3 linked regions of the Arabidopsis thaliana genome follow. The protein of the gene in region 2 interacts with the protein of the main gene of each other region in a pairwise test. Each region holds a gene or a part of one and is shown on either strand. Other genes may lie near its edges.

The links. Proteins that work in one complex are often made in the same cells at the same time.
Region 1: the proteins of NDPK1 (region 2) and CAT2 interact in a two-hybrid assay, tested with the Arabidopsis thaliana proteins (one study listed by BioGRID).
Region 3: the proteins of NDPK1 (region 2) and CAT1 interact in a two-hybrid assay, tested with the Arabidopsis thaliana proteins (one study listed by BioGRID).

What each region holds. Positions count from the first base shown.
Region 1 is NC_003075.7:16,699,425-16,705,394, forward strand, and holds CAT2 (catalase 2), read right to left. Parts: upstream 4,081-5,970; 5' UTR 3,792-4,080; coding exon 3,777-3,791; exon of another isoform or gene 3,532-3,776; coding exon of another isoform or gene 3,517-3,531; coding exon 3,420-3,516; intron 3,344-3,419; coding exon 3,066-3,343; intron 2,988-3,065; coding exon 2,211-2,987; intron 2,129-2,210; coding exon 2,039-2,128; intron 1,938-2,038; coding exon 1,870-1,937; intron 1,781-1,869; coding exon 1,687-1,780; coding exon of another isoform or gene 1,681-1,686; exon of another isoform or gene 1,573-1,680; coding exon 1,513-1,572; 3' UTR 888-1,512; downstream 1-887. Other genes in the region: AT4G35080 (high-affinity nickel-transport family protein), read left to right, coding at 1-588. UniProt on the Arabidopsis thaliana protein: Catalyzes the degradation of hydrogen peroxide (H(2)O(2)) generated by peroxisomal oxidases to water and oxygen, thereby protecting cells from the toxic effects of hydrogen peroxide.
Region 2 is NC_003075.7:5,921,592-5,925,131, reverse strand, and holds NDPK1 (nucleoside diphosphate kinase), read right to left. Parts: upstream 1,649-3,540; coding exon 1,598-1,648; intron 1,478-1,597; coding exon 1,429-1,477; intron 1,116-1,428; coding exon 766-1,115; downstream 1-765. Other genes in the region: AT4G09340 (SPla/RYanodine receptor (SPRY) domain-containing protein), read left to right, coding at 1-117. UniProt on the Arabidopsis thaliana protein: Major role in the synthesis of nucleoside triphosphates other than ATP. The ATP gamma phosphate is transferred to the NDP beta phosphate via a ping-pong mechanism, using a phosphorylated active-site intermediate.
Region 3 is NC_003070.9:7,144,710-7,151,067, reverse strand, and holds CAT1 (catalase 1), read right to left. Parts: upstream 4,433-6,358; 5' UTR 4,257-4,432; coding exon 4,242-4,256; intron 3,656-4,241; coding exon 3,559-3,655; intron 3,286-3,558; coding exon 3,008-3,285; intron 2,830-3,007; coding exon 2,053-2,829; intron 1,963-2,052; coding exon 1,873-1,962; intron 1,783-1,872; coding exon 1,715-1,782; intron 1,613-1,714; coding exon 1,459-1,612; 3' UTR 888-1,458; downstream 1-887. Other genes in the region: CAT3 (catalase 3), read right to left, coding at 4,875-4,934, 5,027-5,188, 5,288-5,377, 5,463-6,239, 6,332-6,358. UniProt on the Arabidopsis thaliana protein: Occurs in almost all aerobically respiring organisms and serves to protect cells from the toxic effects of hydrogen peroxide.

The sequences.
Region 1 (5,970 bases), about 11 Mb from region 2:
GGACGCAGCAAAATGGAAAGTGCTGCTGTTGGAGCTCTCTGGGGATGTGGGCATGATGCTGGTCAAGTCATCTTTGGTTTACTGTTTCTGCTACTTAAAGACCGGCTTCACATTGAAGTATTACAAACTTGGGGTACAAGAATTGTGGGATTGACTCTTGTTATTATCGGTGCTATGGGAATCAAGGAAGCTTCTGAGATTCCAGAACCTTGTGTCGCTTTAGAAACCGACATCAGCATGGTATCAACAGAGAAAGAAGCCTTACCACTGCCCAAAAAGAAGAAGATCGGGTTTGCTACATTTGCAACTGGAGTGGTTCACGGGTTGCAACCGGATGCTCTGATGATTGTTTTGCCTGCATTAGCTCTCCCATCACGGTTAGCAGGGTCTGCGTTTTTGATAATGTTTCTGGTTGGGACAGTTATAGCGATGGGAAGTTACACAGCGTTTATTGGGTCTTGCAGTGAGGCTTTGAAAGAGAAAGTTCCAAGGATCACAGAGAAACTAACTTGGGTTTCGTCACTTGTGGCTATTGGTCTTGGATTGGGAATTGTCATCAGCCCTTTCTTTGGTTTTAGCCTCTACTGAGAAAGTAAAAGCTTCTTCAGGTAAATGAGACAAGTTGAAATCTTTGTAGTTCTTATAGAAGAAAGAGAGGTTTTTTTGGGTCCATATCACTCGTATTATTGTCACCTGTACGAACAAAATCTCGTAATCTTGCTTCAGAAACTCCTCTCGGAGAAAACCATTTGGTGATTCTTTTTATTTTCCTTATTTTTAAGAGAAGTTTGGTTTTGGTTCTGAATTATCGATCAACTGCATGTAACCATACTTTGTAATATTATCAAATTTTAACTAAAAAGTCATTCTTGTTTATATCATTTGAACAGTACTTGTCACAAATACAAACCCCAAAATGTCAAAACCAAGTTTATTTTCTAATGTCAGGATGTCAAAGCAGAGTTCAAATCCAAATTGTCAGATTATTCACACCAAATCTAAAGACTCTCGACACCCCACACTTGATACAACGACGTTATACACAAATGTGGCCACTGTTACAACACATATTGACAACTATTGTAAATTCCCTAATACCCACACATAAGAATTTATGGATTTTCTTGTCTTTTTCGTTTCATACTTTGCTATTCCCTTTCGTCCAGAACATGCAGACTAAAAATCACGTCTTTGTCGACAGCTCTTACGGGATTACATTCGTTAATATATGAGAAATATATAAGAATATGTCACAATCTTTCAAGGAAGAAGGAGCTTTCATCAAGTAACACCACGGATTATAAATCTTCAATGTATAATGTATTATTCTGATAAACGAGAGACACAACAACACACAAGGTTCTTTTGGTCTTTAAACAGATACTATTATAACATAGCACAGAAGATCCACATGATGAAGATTGTATTATCGCAACTTTGATCTCTTCCCATTTTCTTTTCTCTGCTAATTAACAACCACAGAAAGGCCAATCAAGAATTCTTTCACTCGTTTTAGATGCTTGGTCTCACGTTCAGACGGCTTGCCAGCTTCTGTCCCAAAGACTTATCAGCCTGTTTCACACATTTTTAACCAATCAGTCAAAAATGTTTAAAACTTGACAACTTTTCAACTGCTGAGACTTGAAGAACGAGACAATGACAGTAACAGAGATCAAGATTTCAGACCTGAGACCAGTAAGAGATCCAGATACTGCGGATTTCATGCGTGATGCGTGGGTCGGATAGGGCATCAATCCATCTCTGGATGAATCGTTCTTGCCTGAAGTTGAAAACATACCGTAAAACGTTAAGAACACAGATGTTCCTTTTATGCATTAAGCATCATTACAAAAATAAAACAATTAGTACCTCTCTGGTGTAAAGGTACGGTATCTCTCTCCAGGCTCCTTGAAGTTGTTCTCTTTCTCAATAATGCACTGAAAAAAAAACAGATTTCGAAACTTTTAGATCATATGTTCTTAAGTGAACCAATCCATGGGAAACAGAAACAGAGAGGAAAACAGAGTTGATTACTGACCCTCTCACGTTTTCCAGAACAGACAGCAGGCGGAGTTGGATACTTCTCAGCATGACGAACCTGGTCATACCTCGACGGGAAGTAGTTAACCTGTAACAACAGCTTCTTGTAAGACTATGGTATTCTAGCTTCAAGTTCGATATAAAGATATTGATAGTGTACTATTAAGTACCTCCTCGTCCCTGTGCATGAAATTCATGAATCCCTCATGGTGGTTGTTGTGGTGAGCACATTTTGGAGCATTGACTGGCAGCTGAAGGTAGTTTGGTCCAAGACGGTGTCTCTGAGTATCGGCATAGGAGAAGACACGGGTTTGAAGCAGCTTATCATCTGAGTAATGTATCCCTGGGACAATAATTGCAGGACAGAAAGCAAGTTGCTCATTCTCTGCAAAGAAGTTGTCAATGTTCTTGTTCAACACCATACGTCCAACAGGTTGAAGAGGCAAGATATCCTCAGGCCAGGTCTTGGTCACATCGAGCGGGTCAAAGTCGAACTTGTCTTCATCAGCAGGATCAATGATTTGGATAAAGAGCTTCCATTCAGGGTAGTTTCCAGCAGCTATAGAGTCATACAAGTCTTGAGTCGCATGACTGTGGTTGGTTCCTCCAACACGAATTGCATCTTCTTCCAAAAGAGACTTGACTCCACAAGTTGGTTTCCAATGGAACTTCACGTAGTGAGCTTTGCCAGCTTTGTTGATCAACATGTATGTATTGACACCTGAACCATCCATGTGCCTGTAATCTTGTGGGATACCGATATCATCGAAGAGGAAAGTGAACATGTTCAAACTTTCAGGGTGGTGGGAGAAGAAGTCAAGGATTCTCCAGTTCTCTTGGATGTGAGATTTTGGGTTCGGCTTAAGAGCGTGGACCATGTCAGGGAACTTCATCCCATCGCGGATGAAGAAAACAGGAAAGTTGTTTCCAACAAGATCAAAGTTCCCCTGCATACAAAGAATGATCATTTGCTTAGTATATAAGTAATTGCTAGCATTCTTAAATGTTACAAACTACTAACTGACCTCTCTGGTGTAGAACTTGACTGCAAAACCACGAGGGTCTCTCAAGGTCTCGGGACTTCCACGCTCATGGATAACGGTGGAGAACCGGACAATGACAGGAGTCTGAACACCGGGAGCTCGGAGAAAGTCAGCACAAGTGAGGTTAGAGATATCATGAGTGACCTCAAAGAAACCTTTAGCACTGGCTCCTCTGGCATGAACCACACGCTCTGGAATCCGTTCCCTGTCGAAATTGGCAAGCTTCTCAACGAGATGGTAATCCTCAAGAAGGATAGGACCTGCCCAAAAAAACAATCAGAAATGCAACAATAACATTGAGGAGAACAGACTTATTCATGGGAGAAGAAGAGGTACCTCTGGGTCCAACGGTCATGGAGGAGTTGTTGTTCCATACAGGAGCACCAGAGTTGGTGGTGAAGAAGGGAGAGTTGTAAGAACTAGCTGGACGATACTGCATCATCATCATCAATTGCAAAGGAAATTAAAATTAACATCAGAGAAAAACCACAATGATTCGAAAGAATCACAAGTCAAAAGGCACATGATCTTAGAGCAATGGAAAGACTTAATTGTATATTTGCAGATTCGAGTAGAAAAAAAGGTCAAAACTTTGGGTGCAATTCCATAAGCTAATAACAACGTTTCAATCCAGTTTATACGGAGAAATTACAAAAGACGAAAAGGTTAGAGAGAAAAGAAAGAAGGGTTTACCTTGTAAGGATCCATGGTTTGATGAGAAGAGAGCTTGGAGAGATTCAGAGATTTTTATCAAAACGAGGAGATGGTACTGATGATGATGAGGCACTATTTTATATTCACTTGCCTTATTTATAAATGGCGTGTGTATTACTGCCTTTTTAGCTTTTTATTTTTTTCTTTATTTTGAGGGGGGAATTTTTAAAGGTTATCGTTTTTTCTTTATTTTAGTTTTTTCATGTGATAAATACTGGAAAGAAAAAAACAAATGTTATATATTGTGGCGAGAAATTCAGGAACGTCAAGTATTATTTATGATCACAGTACCACGAATTGTTTCATATATATTTTTCTTAATCCAACCACCGGTTACCTACTATTTATTCAAATTCAGAAAAAGTAGTTTTAATTTGTTTTATTCGCTCATTTTTATTTTGTTAATTGGATTATAAACTAATCTAAATGAATTAGTGCGACTATCTTTTAATCTCAGACACTCATAGCAAATAACTGTACTTTTGATTTACATCACATTAACAAGTTTAACAAAATCTATTATTATTAGAGAATGTAGAATAATGATTAAAACAAAGTCAACCCTTACAGAATTGAATCTATTCTATGATGTAATAGAAGATGAAATCCATGGCATTGGTTTTTATTTGGTCCTGCCAAATTATATCGTTTTACGTTTTTCTAAAAATTCGTTGAACAAAGCCAACTTACATGTAGTTTTTGATAAACGATTAATTTTGAACCTTATAAACTAACTGGCTGTGGTTTGATAGATCAACATCGTCAATGCGATCCGAATTTAGGTTCCCGAGAACTTAAGATAAGCTGAACCCACGATTGCGATATTGTCATATATATATTCTGTACTTAAAAAAAAAGTTTTTTTTATATGGTAACAAAAGCAAGGAAGAAGGACGACAAAAGAAATAAATATTAGGCAATTCAATGAAAATAAAATAAATGAGGACGTCATTGGGCTGTGGTTCCTTATCCGGTTTTTTTGGCCTTTTAGCAAAACCTTTTTAAGTGGTTTAGTATGGTCTTGGGTGACGTGGCTGCTTTGTTGGATTCCACGTGTGATGAGATAGTGTGAACGCCCCAAGCGGGAAGAATATGCCTTTTGAATTGATTATTTCTTAAGTTTTTGTTTTGCCCCTTGGGAGATGTGACGAGATGAGATTTATCAAGTTCCCAATGGCCCACCTTGGAACCCTCTGGCTCGCTCAGAAGTTCATCTGATCAAGCTGTTGATTTTGGACAATAGAAGAAATTTTTAACACACATATTTCTTCATCCACCACCTATGGCTATGAGTGCTTGTATTTCTTTTAAGAGATGGCATGTGAATTATGGAATATATGGTCGGTTAAGAAAAACATATACATGGTACTGAATTGCCGAATTCTATTGGTTATAAAGAAACCAACAAGTAGTGAACGTACAAGTACAACCACACAGGTTACATGCAACAAAACAAAACTAATGTATCGTACGTTATTAAGACCTTAAAGCCAACGGATTGAAACATGTCGACCATACATAATTAAACATGTGATCTTGTTCCATACGTTCTGAAAAAAAATAAGCAGGCTCAAAAATGTGCTGAAGAAACAATGAGATGATTGAAACCCATTACGAATAGACTTAGCCCAAAAATGCTATCAAAAGAATTGTCGCTAATACATCAAAATGGGCTGAATTATCTGGTCTAGCCCAACTCTTAAAGATATACAACGATTAAGTAGCTAGCTACTACTTCCATTTCCAATGTCAAGGATCAAGAACATATTTTTCTCAGCACGTGTCGTCTTTTTGAAAATTTCAACTAATCTTGATGTAAGTTCCTTCTTGGTTAAAAATAAGAAGGATACACAAAACAAACTCACCTTATGGTTAATTTTTGTTTTTTTAATAATAATTAGACCAAAATCCATAAACGAATATAGCTGGTGTTTGCAACCAGCTAAAATATGAATATTAGGGAACACCAAACTTAAGGATGATCGATTACTTGTTTTATACATACTTTTAAAAAGTGCTAATCTAAGACAGCATTAATATTGAATCTTTTCAAAGTTATTGTATGTACTATTTTCTGAACTGAAAAGTTCAAAAATGAAATATGAAGGTACAATATAGCCTAAAAACAATGAATAGAAAGGAGTATGTTCTATGTTTTCTTTAGTGTAAATAA
Region 2 (3,540 bases):
CAACTAACAGCTTGCTGTCTGGAACTGCGGTCGCTTAACGATGGTCAAGGAGAAGCGTTCTCGCTTAACCGACTTCTTAGAACCAACAATTGGAAGAGGACAAAAAAGACTACTTAGCTGTGTCCATCTTTGGAAACAAACTTGGCTTTGATTGTTGACAGTGGCTGGGTTTGAACTGTTACAGGCAGCTACAATAAGCGGTCAAAATAGATGATTGAAACAGACGGGTTGGAGTTGAACCTGACCGTTGGATTCTTTTCTTCTCTAAAGTTTGAAGAACCAAAATTGTAAAATTTAGTTATTTAAATTTAGCTTGCCAATGTTCATCAGTAAGCTTGAAATTCAGTAGACAAATACTCAAAACTTTTCTTATCACTCTCTCCTAGTATGCCCCCTTCAAGTTGGTGTCAGCCTCAAACTTGGACAATGGCTTACTAGACAACTTAAGCTTGCCACTTTGTCGAACGTCGCAGTTTTCGAGAGCATCTAAGAGATTGACAACATTATGTGTTCATGAAACACAAGGTTACAAGAAGTATGATCTTGTGTTTACTAAATAGGTTTGATCTAACCATTGGTAAGAGTCAATTTTGGTTCAGTATCTGCAATAACTGATATATTTTATATCACCAGTTGGTAGCTGTTGTATTCATATGTAGCAAGCAAGCAAAGTAGAGAAGGATAATCAAACTCAACTTAAATATAGAAGTCTTGTTCAAAAGACAAGCAATGTCGAAAACACACTACTGAAAAAGCAACAGATCATCAAGTTTCATAGACCCAAGGGTGAACGCTGCTCTGCCAGTTGACAGGTCCATCAGGGAACCACAAAGCAATCTCCTTTCTTGCACTCTCGACAGAGTCACTACCATGGATCACGTTCCTGCCAATGTCAATAGCAAAGTCCCCACGGATAGTTCCAGGCTCAGAAGCTGCTGGGTTGGTAGCTCCAATGATCTTTCTTCCGGTCAAGACAACATTCTTTCCTTCCCAGATCATAGCAACAACAGGGCCGGATACAATGTAGTCAACGAGTCCACTGAAGAAAGACTTTGAAGATAAGTCTTCGTAGTGCTTCTCAGCAAAAGATCTCTCTACACTGATCAACTTCAGACCTGTATAAAATACAAATCTACACTGATCAGAAACACAAGACTAACACTCTTATCTACCAAATTACATAATACAAAAGGTCCAGATAATAACAAGTTCTTATGCACAGATACTATAATCTAAAATCTATTAGACAACACAGAATACTTGTCAAGTCAAACAAGTTTTACTAAACTATTAGTGTTCAGAAACTAGACCAAACCATAAGCAACTATAGTGTCATTACAATCTCAATTCAAGTAACAAAGTGACTTTAATTAGATCTAAGACCTCTAATTATAATGTAAAATCAAGTTTGGTAATCGAAATCATTACCTTTCAAAGTGAAACCCTTCTTCTCAAACCTGCAGATGACTTCACCGATCTGAAAGAAAAAAACACAAACATATCGATCTTTTAAGTATAAACAATCCAAAGAACTGAATACAAAACCAAAATCAGATCAAGATCAACAAGTATGTATTAAGAGAAAAGGGAAGCTTACGAGTCCTCTCTGGACGCCGTCAGGCTTGATCATAATAAAAGTTTGCTCCATTGTTTTCTTATTACTTGTGATTCGTAGGAGGCAAAAAAGATTTATATAGAGTCCGCACATGTAACCCTAATTCTGTTGAAGAATATTCTAACCCTAGAATATTTGCTACAAATTATTGGGCTTCCCTTATTATTATGTTAGGCCCAATTAAATAAAATATTGGGCTTCATAAAAAAAACACAAATAATATTTTTTTGCAACTTAATTATTTATGTCAAACAAACGTAGATTAATACTGTGATATTAAAAGTCGTTCGCAATATAACTCTTGCACGTGTATAGATTTTGCAAATCATATAAATCTGTACATGATTATTAAAATTACGTCGTTTTGAGCCTTCTTTTAACAAAAAAAACGGCTTTTACTTATTATTATTTTAAGGTTCAATTAGTTATAAAAATTGGATTTTGTGCCAAAAAATTCTCTAAGTAATTTTTTTTGTAACTCAATCATGTAAGTTAAATAAATGCAGGTCTGCGATCTCAAAAGTCACCTATAGTATATCTCTTAGACGTGTATAGATTTTGCAAACCGTATGTTTATATATAGGTTATTAAAACTACGTTGTTTTGAGCCTTTAAACAAAAACGCAAAATAATGTTGGAAAATAGATTTGAACGCATGGCATATTGAACTATTCAAAGATTACTTAACCAATTGAGCAGAGTGATTTTGTTAACTTTACAAACCGATTAATATATATAGTTTAAACATGAATCGAATACAACAATAACATTATTTCAGAATTGTAAACATAAAACTTGACAAACAGCGCGAGCGGTTACGATCGGATCAAACCCAAGTCTGAACACGCTCAATTCTTCCACCCACGCCTCGTCTCAGAGCTTTCCTCGATGAAGAATAGATTAATTGCGATGAGAATGAGCCCTTGCTTGCTCTACAAATTGTTGATGATGGCCAAAGATAATGAAATCAGTGGTGATAAACAAACTAGTTCACGTGAATAGAGATTTCGGATTGCTAATAAACCTAATTTCCTAAGAAGATGAAGAAACCCAGAATGCAATGTTCACAATATATATTTATCGGTATGCAATATCAACAATAAATCTTGCAGCACAATTGGTTAAGTGCATTATTTAGTATTATAGGTTATTGGTTCCAATCCACTCTAGTAATGTATTATTTTCCGAAAAGATGCTCAAACGACGTAGTTTAATAACTTATATACATACTTATACGGTTTGCAAAATCTAAGCACGCCCAAAGATTATATAAAATCTATGCACGTGGTTATACTGTGGGTGACTTTTGATATCAGAGTATTGACCTACATGTATTTAATATGAAAGGTTATGTTGCAAAAAAAAATATTTTTGAGGGTTGTTGGCACAAAACCCTAATATATTTGTTAGATTTGGATTAAAAGAGTTTGATCACACCACTTTGATGCATTCTCTCATGTTGAAGATATACACAACACATTTTCTAAACAAAAATTGTAGTTTTAAGGATTTTATTTTTTATAATATATATATCAAGTATATGAATTGATATAGAAACTATATATAAGTACATAAATTATTCGATGTAGCCAATTACTTCAAAAATTGATAAAATGATCTCAAACACATTTTTTAATAGAGCAAAGTTCTCTTTCTCCATCTCTTGCTACTCAATCATTTTGTTGTATCTACTTTATCATCTATTCGCATAAATTTGTACATAACCACTTGTTCTTAAAGATTATTTCTCATCACATTCGAAAACACTGTCGCTAACACATCTTGCCTAACTCTTTTAGACCTTCAAATATGTATTAAAGAAAGAAAGACAAGTTTTCTACATGATGAAAGTTTGCTCCATTTTTTTTGCTTGCTTATGACCCATGGGAGGCAAAATGAGTTATATATAGTCTCCACAAATTTTT
Region 3 (6,358 bases), on a different chromosome or scaffold from region 2:
AGGAAAACAAACTTTTTTGAGTAACCAATGAATTTTTAAACTTTGCAAATACAAAAGAAGATTCTGATTACACAATTTTAAATTATGATCCGGGCAAATAGAATCTCTTTTCATAGGGCTTTGAAACGTATAAAAAATGATTAATAGTTGGACATTGATAATAGAGATCCCTTAATATAATACACAAAAAATGAGTCCTTAATTGCAAAACAAAATTAGTATAAGGTTGGCCGAATCATTAACTTCCACGTCAAATAATTGTGATAATTTTTGCACGTCTTGGTTAGGTATAAAACCTATATACCTTATTTTTGGGGTACGGAGACGATATTATTTATGTTGAGTACATTTGTTGGTAGACCTAGACGTAGGTCCACGAAATTATACTCTTGCATTATACACCTCAAAACTTAGATATTTACATAATTACATTTTATCGTTTAGTATAGTGCTTAAGTTCCGTCACATGCAATCAAAGTAAAGTCTTCTTGATTTCGTCATCAAGATATTGACTTTTCCTAAATGGATCCGAGATCTTGTTAACGACAACCAAAACACGTTAAATTTGTTATTGTTTTTCGTTAAACTGCAAAGTTATGAATTTTAAATGTATAAAATCCTGGACCATTAGCAAACACAGTTCACTATACCATTTCATTGGATAAATAATCTCTTAAGATGCGTAACTTCGATCTAAAATCTTCGCACACTACCACTTAACAAGTTGTAAAAAAAAATATGAGACTGAAAAATACATGAGAAAAGGATATTATTGGTGATTAAGTTTGATGTGGCTCCATGTGTCTAATTTCTGATTTGCGCTGAGGTTCTCTTTAAGAAAAGAAACTACTGGCTGAGAGACATCAGATTAATCAGACTGTATTAGCTGATTAAAAGTTAAGCGCAACAAAGTATAAGCATAATTAAAATTGGTCTGCTCTCATTATTCTTTTTGCATTTCCACTAGCAGCGGAATAATCAAATACTCCACCCCCACTTACATGTAAATTATAAATTATGAATGCGATGTAGCATCATAACGATTGACCAATTAAAAGGTCTGACGTGATGAGTGATGACTATGCCAATTTATCAAAATATGGACAGACATAAAACTTTTTTATCAAGATCGTGCGTCTGACATTAGACCCCAATAAAATTCCAACTATAAGCTCACGTCATAGATGCAGAAGATTAAAATACAAATAAAAATCCATTTTTAAAGTAGAACCAAATGGATGATAGTGATACTTGTTTACTAAGCTATATTAGTCATAGCTTTTTATTTATTTGCCTTAGAAAATAATCGTTAATATTTTGAAAAGAAGATTACAAACAGGAACTAGTACCCTTCTTTAAGCGTTTCATTGTCAATAAACGAGATTACTTAGAAACCAAACCGTAAGAGGAGCATATTGAGTTTATAGGATTTCACTTAGTCTTTAGAGATGATATCATTCAGAAGTTTGGCCTCACGTTAAGACGAGTTGCTAGTTTCTGTCCCAGAGATTTGTCTGCCTGAGACCAGTAAGAGATCCAAATGCTGCGGATTTCGTGCGTGACACGAGGCTCCGAAAGCGCTTCAACAAAACGCTTCACGAATCGTTCTTGCCTATTGGTACAAAACAAAAGACCATTAGAATGAATTATGACATTTGTGGTTCATGTGTAATTGTTGATTTTGCAATGTGGTTTTTGAGTTTTTAGTGTTTACCTGTCTGAATCCCAGGACCGGTATCTCTCCCCTGGTTGCTTGAAGTTGTTCTCCTTCCCGATGAAGCACTGTGATATAAAGATGACATTTGAGTTTTAACTATGACTTATGAGGATAAAACTTGTGATCAAAAATTAATGTATGTAGAGGACTCTGACCTTCTCACGATTTCCAGAGCAGACAATAGGAGTTGTAGGGTATTTTTCGGCATGGCGAACTGGATCCAACCTTGAAGGGAAGTAATTGACCTGGAATTGGAAAGCAACAAATTCACTTCATATAAATGTGATTGCGAATTTAAGTATCTGGGAGTTTCTAGAGCCGAGAGATAAGATTACCTCCTCATCCCTGTGCATGAAGTTCATAAAACCATCATGGTGATTGTTGTGGTGAGCACATTTAGGGGCATTAACAGGTAGTTGCAGATAGTTTGGTCCAAGACGGTGTCTCTGACTATCAGCGTAGGAGAAGATCCGGGTCTGGAGTAGCTTATCATCTGAATAGTGGATGCCTGGAACCACAAGAGCAGGACAGAATGCAATCTGTTCGTTCTCATTAAAGAAGTTGTCGATGTTTTTGTTCAAGACCAAGCGACCAACAGGTTGTAAAGGCAAGATATCTTCAGGCCAGATCTTTGTGACATCAAGCGGATCGAAGTCAAATTTGTCTTCATGGGCAGGATCCATCACCTGAACGAAGAGATTCCACTGCGGATAGTTCCCGGCTGCGATCGAGTCATAGAGATCTTTGGTGGCATGGCTGTGATTGGCTCCTCCAACTCTGATAGCTTCCTCATCCGACAGGCATTTGATCCCACAAGTCGGCTTCCAGTGGAATTTCACATAGTGAGCTTTTCCAGCTTTGTTGATTAGCATGTAAGTGTTGACCCCAGCGCCTTCCATGTGCCTGTAGTCCTGTGGGATACCGAGATCATCAAAGAGAAATGAAAACATGTGCAAACTCTCTGGGTGGTGGGAGAAGAAGTCCAGTATCCTCCAGTTCTCCTGAATGTGAGACTTGGGATTCGGTTTCAATGCATGGACCATGTCAGGGAATTTCATTCCATCACGGACGAAGAATACAGGGAAGTTGTTCCCAACAAGATCAAAGTTCCCCTGAGTTTGCAAACAGAGGGTAAGAGGAATCATCAGTATAGTATGATATGATTTGCAAGTAATCATATAGGTGGTGAAACGAAATAGATAAGCAAATAAACGTTTGAATATCAGCAAACACATCGATATCGGTTATAGAAAATAGAGAGACAATGGAAGGATAAGACAAAAAGCTAACCTCTCTGGTGTAAAACTTAACAGCAAAACCACGGGGATCTCTGAGAGTCTCGGGACTGCCACGCTCATGGATGACAGTTGAGAAACGAACGATAACAGGAGTCTGAACACCAGGTCCTCGAAGAAAATCAGCAGAAGTAAGTTGGGTAATGTCATGAGTGACTTCAAAGAAACCCTTAGCACTGGCTCCCCTGGCATGAACAACCCTCTCAGGAATCCGCTCCCTGTCAAAGTTAGCGAGTTTCTCAAGCAGATGATAGTCCTCCAGAAGGATTGGACCTGACAATATATAAAACCATCGCTTAACATATCTAAAAATCCAAGCAACTGAGACAGAATCAACATTGAGGAATTATATCAGATTTGGCATAAAACTGAAGGAAGAAATGTGATTTACGCAAGTCCACAACAAAAACACTAATGACATTATTATCCAAACGTTTATAAAATTATTTGGCTTCCACTACTCTAGCTTTAAGGGCATTTCTAACAACCACTGGTTCAACATATTTGTTATAATTTGTATTCAAGAGATAAGAAAGAGAAACGGACCTCGAGTTCCGACAGTCAAAGAAGAGTTGTTGTTCCAGACAGGAGCACCCGAGTTTGTAGTGAAGAAAGGGGAATCATGAGCGCTTGAAGGACGAACCTGCACACCAACAAATAAATTCAGAAGAACTGGATCACAAAAAAATTAACCAAATTTCCATAGATTGGAGAAACGTCTATGACAAATAATGATACATTGATACTTGATACATAACAATTCCACATAAGTATATATGATCAATTAAAAAAATACGATACAAGCAACAATGATATTCACAATTGAACACAGTGATTAAAATAACTTTAAAAAAATCGTAAAGAAACCTTAAAACATGTACAACGATATTGACAGATCACGTCAGCCTTAAGACTTGTGTATTAGAACATGAGCATGAGCATGAGCATGTTGACAAATAAACAATCAATAGACGGAAAAACATGTTGAATTTTCCAGTGGAATCTTCAACGCATGCAAATCGAAACCCAATCTCCACTATATAATAAAGAAATCGATTCACACAAAAAAACCTCAACAAGTCGAACAATCACCCCAATTTTGCATCATTTTAACCGAGAGAGAGAGATCATTCATACACTTTGGATTCAACACGAAATCACACCAAATCGATACGAAATCAAGTAAGGTAAAATCACAGATTACAAAAAAAGAGAATCAATCGATGTACCCTGTATGGATCCATGATGCTTGAAGACAATTTTGATCCGAATTTTTCTTCTTTTGCGATTTTTAGGTGAGACTGTGTGTATCTCGCAAATCGGCGTGTGTCTGCACTGTTGTCGATTTTTTTTTTATAGCGAGAGCCAAAATATCTTATTTTAGCTCAACACCAAAACACGTATGTGTTTTGTCTTTGTTAATCCTTATCCAAATGATAATCCTCGTATTAATAGTCAAACTAATTACGTGTGGATGATATCGTCTTTGATTTCGCCAGATACTATACCATAATTAGACAATTGTTGATCCATTTCAGGATTCTCCTTAAAATAATACATGTTCAATTACGGTATCTTCTCTTTTTTTTCCTGAATTAATAATATGTATAACGACCACCATAAATCTTAGAAATTGTTTACTGCTTCAAGAAACATTGATTTATTGTAAAAAGAGATTACAAAGACAGTGAGAGTAGAAAGGAAGGAAACATGAGTTTTTGGGATTACAAGCATTATTATTATATAGACAAGAAACAACAACACATGTGATTATCTTTTTGACGGATTTAACGACCAAGCGATGATAGATCGATGAGATTGATTGTACCTCACATAGACTGAGCTTATATGGAGATTGGCCTCTAGATGCTTGGCCTCACGTTCAGACGGCTTGCAAGTTTCTGTCCCAAGGATCGATCAGCCTGAGAGATACAGAGAGATAAATAATGTTTTAGTTTGCTGAAACTTGGTAAAAAGGACGTAGAAATTTGACCGAGTGTTTTTTTGTTCTGACCTGAGACCAGTAAGAGATCCAGATGCCGCGGATCTCGTGGGTGAGACGTGGCTCCGATAGAATCTCCACCCATCTCTTAACAAACCTGTCTTGCCTGTCTGGTGCCCATGATCTGTACCTGTCTCCAGCCTGTTTGAAGTTGTTCTCTTTCTTGATGACGCACTGCAACATTAGCAATTAAAAGGTTTTCTTAGCACCAATATTCTAATAAACTTGAGTTTAGGATTTGAAGATTTAGAGAAGGCATGGCAGGAATCGGACCTTTGTTCGAATTCCAGTGTAGGAGTTTGTAGGGGTGGGAACTTTCTCAGCGCAGCGGACAGGATCAAACTTTGAGGGGTAGTAATTGATCTGTAAAAAGTACAAACCAAATGAGAATTTTGATTCCAAGTAAAAAGACTAACAATGGTAGCTCAAGTGGTGTACTAAGACGTACCTCCTCATCTCTGTGCATGAAGTTCATAAAACCTTCATGGTGATTGTTGTGGTGAGCACATTTGGGAGCATTGACTGGAAGCTGCAAATAATTCGGTCCAAGGCGATGTCTCTGAGTGTCACCATAAGCAAAGATCCTACACTGGAGCAGCTTGTCGTCTGAGTAGTAGATTCCAGGAACCACAAGACCCGGGTTGAACGCAAGCTGCTCAGTTTCATTGAAGAAATTGTCAATGGTCCTGTTCAGAACCAAGCGACCAACCGGTTGCAGAGGCAAAATATCCTCAGGCCAGATCTTGGTCACATCAAGTGGGTCAAAGTCAAACTTATCCTCATCTGCAGGATCCATGGTCTGGATGAAAAGTTTCCACTCGGGGTAGTTGCCAGATGCAATGGCATCGTGGAGATCCTTAGTGGCGTGGCTGTGATTGGCTCCTCCAACAACCTTGGCCTCTTCATCAGTCAGATTCTTGATCCCACAAGTTGGTTTCCAGTGGAACTTCACAAAGAGAACTTTTCCAGATTTGGCAATAAGAGTGTAGGTGTGGACACCGAAACCCTCCATGTGCCTGTAATCTTGTGGAATACCAACATCATCAAACATCCAGCACCATGTGAGCAAACTCTCAGGCAAGTGGGACATGTAGTCCAGAATCCTCCAGTACTCTTGGATGTTTGTTTTCGGGTTAGGTTTCAACGCGTGGACAACATCCGGGAACTGAATCCCATCACGGATGAAGAACACCGGAGTGTTGTTCCCAACAAGATCAAAGTTTCCCTGATCATAACAGTAACAAGACAAAAATCAGTCCTGATTCTAAAGAAGCTAAAAGACGATTAAAAATGGAAACTTTGAATCTTTTCTTATACCTCTCTGGTGTAAAACTTGACAGCAAA